2 linked regions of the Macaca mulatta genome follow. The main gene of each other region encodes a partner of the protein of the gene in region 2 in a complex. Links are inferred from orthologs where the notes say so. Each region holds a gene or a part of one and is shown on either strand. Other genes may lie near its edges.

What was found.
Region 1: TERT (region 2) and DKC1 share a complex: the UniProt entries of both Homo sapiens proteins name them as parts of the telomerase holoenzyme complex. The link is inferred for Macaca mulatta from reciprocal best matches to the Homo sapiens genes TERT and DKC1.

Annotation. Positions count from the first base shown.
Region 1 is NC_133426.1:161,068,573-161,070,828, forward strand, and holds the end of DKC1 (H/ACA ribonucleoprotein complex subunit DKC1), read left to right. Parts: intron 1-285; coding exon 286-423; intron 424-904; coding exon 905-973; 3' UTR 974-1,756; downstream 1,757-2,256.
Region 2 is NC_133411.1:2,381,513-2,385,012, forward strand, and holds part of TERT (telomerase reverse transcriptase), read right to left. Parts: intron 2,601-3,500; coding exon 2,474-2,600; intron 956-2,473; coding exon 894-955; intron 1-893. UniProt on the Homo sapiens protein: Telomerase is a ribonucleoprotein enzyme essential for the replication of chromosome termini in most eukaryotes. Active in progenitor and cancer cells. Inactive, or very low activity, in normal somatic cells.

The sequences.
Region 1 (2,256 bases), on a different chromosome or scaffold from region 2:
CTTGCAGTCGTGAAAGAAACAGCTTCTCTGGGCCTTTCCATCCCCAAGCCCCATGCTGCTGCTGTGCTGCTCCTCTCTGCCTGCCTCAAGGCTTCTTGGATTTGGGGGATGAGACTGTCTTCAAATCCTCAGTAAACTAAAGCCCTGTCCGGGTTTGTAGTCACAAAACGTCCTGTTGGATTCAGTTGGGATCTTTCTCGGTGCCTCACTACCTTTTGACTCACTGAACCTTTCTTGTCCGTTATTGCCCAATATCTAACACTTAACCAATTGCTTTCATCTCAGCGGAAGCGAGAGAGTGAGAGTGAAAGTGACGAGACCCCTCCAGCAGCTCCTCAGTTGATCAAGAAGGAAAAGAAGAAGAGTAAGAAGGACAAGAAGGCCAAGGCTGGTCTGGAGAGCGGGGCCGAGCCTGGAGATGGGGTGTGTGGAGATATGTTCAGGTTCCTTGGGCTGGCTTAGTCCCTCCATGGGGAAAGAATTACCCAGGTGGTACCAGCTTTGTTACTCTTCTTGGAGGAGCTGTGGCCTGGGGGTGGCATGCGACTGAGTGCCTTTAGTGCTTCCCCATGTTCCTGGACTGCTTTTGCCCTCCCTGTGGAATGGACAGATAGAGGTACTCGGCATCTACCACTTACACTTACAGCTCTATTGATGGTGGGGTGGAGAGGATGTGTAGGATGGTGATCTGAATGTTTCTACTTCCAAAAGTAGACCACTAGGGTGTCACTGAAAGGTTCGCAGAACTTTGTGTCACATGTAGTATTTAACCCAAAATATCCTTACAGGTCCTGAAAAAAGGCTTGCTTGACTGTGGACCTTTACCAGATTTCCTTCTGGGAGAGTGATAGCTTTGTTAGTGGATCCCATGGTATCTATAAGCTTTCATTCTCTTTCTTTCTAGGACAGTGATACCACCAAGAAGAAGAAGAAGAAGAAGAAAGCAAAAGAGGTAGAATTGGTTTCTGAGTAGTGAAGGCCACTTGAAGCATTGTGTCCAGCTGGAGGAGAAACTAAAGCCTTATTAAGAAAACATGTTATAGATCCTTTTGTTGCTGAGAGAGTGGAACATAGGTCCTAGACAGGGTGAAGAGTTCCGGCACATTTTAGCTGCTACTTTGAGACCTCGGTGATGTTACCTGGTGTGGTCATCCCATCTTGTCCTGTTTTAAGGATATGGGTGATGAAAGAGGCAGAGTTTATCCCAATGACTTCTCGGTTTGAGCCTCACCTTCAGACCCAGTAACTGTCCGCAGCTGTCTGCTAGTGGTTGTCTTAACATCATAGTCCTAGTTTGCATTTTTTTATCCCCTCTGTTTATAAGGTTTGTAAAACAAAACAAAACAAAAAACTAAGTCTGCTCAGTGAAATGGTGTAGAACCGTAAATAAGTGATAGAAGAGTGTCACTGAATTTTGTCTCTGAATTCAGTATAACTGAGTTTTGTCCATGCTGGTGTCTGATGGGCCTGGTAGTTTTCCATCTTGTTCTGGCCTAGAGGTCAGTCCTTTGCACTTCCTCAAAGCTTCTGTACAGTGTTCACCTAAATCCATCTGACTACTTGTTCCTGTGCCGTCTTGTTTTAGGCCTCGTTTACTTTTAAAGAATGAAATTGTTCATTGCTGGGAGAAGAATGTTGTAATTTTTACTTATTAAAGTCAATTTGTTAAGTTTTTAATGTATTCCTGTTGGGTTTTCTTGTTGGTGATCTCATGCTAGCAGAGCAAAAATTGTAAAATATTTTGATTAAAAATCTAGGGACCTTTATGTTCTATTTGAAGTGTGATGCTTTTATGTTTTCTGGTTTTTACATTTTCGTTCTGTATCTTACACAGTTCACCTTGGGCCCTGTCATCTGATGTGAGTACTCAGAGGCAGTGATTACCACAAAACCAGTGATCTGTAGAAGAACAGAGGAGAGGGTTGATGTATTTATACATAGTGGGCCTGGCAGGAGGGAGGCAGGGTGAGTCGGGAGAAGGAAGCTGAAAGTTAGGGACATTCAGGAATCTGAAGGCCTTGGTGACAGATTAGTGGAAGAAAGGTCTAGGGTTGCTTCCAATTTGGTATTAAGAGCCAAGAAAGAGGCCGGGTGTGGTGGCTTACACCTGTAATCCCATCAACTTTGGGAGGCTGAGGCGGGCAGATCACCTGAGGTCAGGAGTTTGAGACCAGCCTGGTTAACATGGCAAAACCCATCTCTACTAAAAATACAAAAATTAGCCAGGTGTGCTGGTGTGCACCTGTAATCCCAGCT
Region 2 (3,500 bases):
CCTTGTAACGGAAAATCTCTCCCGTGAGCCCTTGCTGGGTTCCCACGATAGACGACCTCGTTTCACATCAAGTGTGCACGGCCTCAGCCCCGGCCCTGGCCCTGGGTAACACAAATTCTCACACTCATTCTCAGCCCTCATGGGGCGAGGGCTTCGGACTCCTGGCACTCGGCTCCCAGTGGCTCGGGAGGCCTGTTCAGGTGGAGGCCCGGGCCTGTGGTGCCCGACTACCATTTGGTACAGCCCAGAGGTTTGTGCCACCACCTGCCCTGACGCCAGGCAGAAGCTGGCCTTGTGGCCTCCACAGATTGGCCCTTTCTTTTGTGATAAAGTTGTTGATTCTTGACAGGGGGGCCCCCTGACCAGCCATGACAGGGAATGTTCCAGGAGCACAGCCATGCCCGGAGCACAGGTGCCAGCCGGGCTGTGTGGGGAGCCACAGCTCTGCTGCACCTTCCCGGGGGTGGGGACAGCAACCCTCATCTGCACCCACCTCGGCCCTCTTTGCTCTCTGAGACCCCAAATCCTCCCGGTGTCTGATCTCCCACCTACTGTTCAGACACCTTCCCGGCCTCCTCTGCTAAGACTCCCCACAAACATCTCTTTACTCCATGCCCCTCCTGCCCTGGGTTGGCCTCCATGAGGTCCCACAGTCAGTGCACAGGCACAGCGGGGACACCTGGGGCCACGTCGGTTCCTAGCACTACCCAGAGACGGAGACCAGGCGCTTTGCACAGAGCCACGCGAACACAGAACAGGGCAGAGGCAGCAGCACCGCTGAAAACATAAGACACTCCCTGCCCCTAAAACCCAGGTGTAGCCCCCAGTCAGAGGCGAGCAGAGCGCGGCGGGTCCCTGGAGGCTGGGCCTGCGCCCCCTTGGTGGCGGCTCACCTGTAGGCCTGCAGGAGGAGGATCTTGTAGACGTTGGTGCACACTGTCTGGAGGCTGTTCACCTAGAATCGCCAGGAAAGAGAGAAACGGCAGAAACCTCTCTGGGATTTTAAGTTTTTACTTTTTACTTTATCATCCATTCAGATGGCACAAGAAAGAGGAACATTTTGACAAGAAACCATCCCTCTCCCCAGTGAAATCCGGCCTGACCCTCACCCGGCAGCTGTCAACCACCCTGGGGGAGTCAGGACTCCCTGTCGTCTGCCTGCCTCCGAGGCTTGGCCAAAAAGGGAAGGCACCAGGAGAGGGAGTGAACGCAGATGCCCACAGGAGAGGGGAGTGGACACAGATGCCCACAGGAGAGAGGAGTGGACACAGATGCCCACAGGAGAGGGGAGTGAAAGCAGATGCCCACAGGAGAGGGGAGTGGACACAGATGCCCACAGGAGAGGGGAGTGGACACAGATGCCCACAGGAGAGGGGAGTGGACGCCCACAGGAGAGGGGAAGTGGATGTGGACCCTCACAGGAGAGGGGGAGTGAAGGCATGGCAGTGTGCACACAGGTGTGCAAGGGCACAAGTATGAATGTGCACACGCAAATGTATACCTGACATGCATGTGTTCGTGTGCAGTCATGCGGCATTCACGTGAGGTGCATGCATGTAGGTGTGCAGTGTGAGTAGCATGTGTGCACATAATCTGTATCGAGGGCCCCTCATGTTCACCCTGATAGGTCCTCAGCACCAGCACCCCGCCTTACAGGGTGAGACAGGGTCCCAGGCCCCAGTGGGCTGTGGCTCTGAAGTTGCAGTCCTGAGAGCATTGTCCCGTCTGGACATCTGCGTCCACTCCCTCTCCTGTGGGTGTTCACTCCCCTCTCCTGTGGGCGTCCACTCCCCCTCTCCTGTGGGCATTTGCATCCACTCCCCTCTCCTGTGGGCGTCCACTCCCCCTCTCCTGTGGGCGTCCGTGTCCACTCCCCCTCTCCTGTGGGCGTCCACGTCCACTCCCCCTCTCCTGTGGGCGTCCGTGTCCACTCCCCTCTCCTGTGGGCGTCCGTGTCCACTCCCCTCTCCTGTGGGCGTCCGTGTCCACTCCCCTCTCCTGTGGGCGTCCATGTCCACTCCCCTCTCCTGTGGGCGTCCACTCCCCCTCTCCTGTGGGGATCCACCCCATCTCACCCTGTAAGGAGGGGCGCTGGTGCTGAGAACCTAGCAGGGTGAACATGAGGGGGCCCTTGATACAGGTTATGTGCACACATGCTACTCACACCACACACCCACACGCATGCACCTCACATGAATCCCACACGAATGCACATGAACACACATGCACGTCAGGTATGCATTTGCATGTGCACATTCATACTTGTGCCCTTGCACACCTGTGCACACACTGCCATGCCTTCATGTACACACACACGTATGGCTCGCGTGCATCTGCGCACATGTGCACTCTTATGTGCAGCCAGTCACCGTCAGCCTTGCAGGCACGCACACACACACGTACACATGCGTGCACACAGTAACACACATGCCTCTCGAACTCTGAACTCTGTGCTGACCGTCAGCCTGCTCACCTGCAAATCCAGAAACAGGCTGTGACACTTCAGCCGCAAGACCCCAAAGAGTTTGCGACGCATGTTCCTCCCGGCCTTGAAGCCGCGGTTGAAGGTGAGACTGGCTCTGATGGAGGTCCGGGCGTAGCTGAGACACAGGGGGGACGTCAGACACGGGTGCCTGCCCCACACCCAGCCCCCTCCTGCAAAGCTTGCTCCAAAGAGCCTCCTGCCTTCCTCCTGCTTCCTTGTCCTGCCTGGGGCACGCGCTGTAGCCTGAGGGAGTTGGGTGCTCTCTCCGTGGACTCAAAACGCTACACGCCATCCGGACCCTGCATGGCCAGACTCCACCAGGACGTGGCTAGTGATGTTGAGTGTATCCAAGCCTTGCACGGCCGTGTGTGTGCACTCATCATCTGCCCTGATGAGATCTGCACATAACTCGGCCAAAAATACATAATAAACTATGGAGCCCTGACTCCCAGGCGTCCCTCGAGCGGACACGGGTGTGACTCAGCTTCTCTGTGGGAGAACACTGAGTCGGGCATGGGGAATCTCACTGTGTTTGAATCTCATGGATGGAAGAGCCAGGTGGCGCCAGCTAAAGAGGGCTCCAGTGAGTGCACGTGGCACACACAGGGTATCTCCAGAGGGGCAGGATGGAGGCATCCCACCGACGTCCTCCAGGGCCCTGCCACCACTCACTGCCCGTGTACATCCGTGTCCAAAGACGAACACACGTGACATCCACAGCGGGCTCCCTGGGCTGCGTTCTTTTACATCCAGCTTTGAACACTGCTACATTGAAATAAACGTTTTGTGCCATTAAACATTCTTCAAAAATTCTTTGAAAACATGTCTAACGGCAGAGTAAGTTTTGTGATACATAGTATCTGCTTAGCCCTGGATTTGGGCGGGTTGGCGACTTGCTGTGGCAATCCCCCCTCCCCCATACCTGGAGCACTGGAAATGGGAAATAAGACCCGTGATAATGTCTGGTCACTTCAGAAGTGGAATTACTGGGAAAACACAGGACATTGTAAGGACT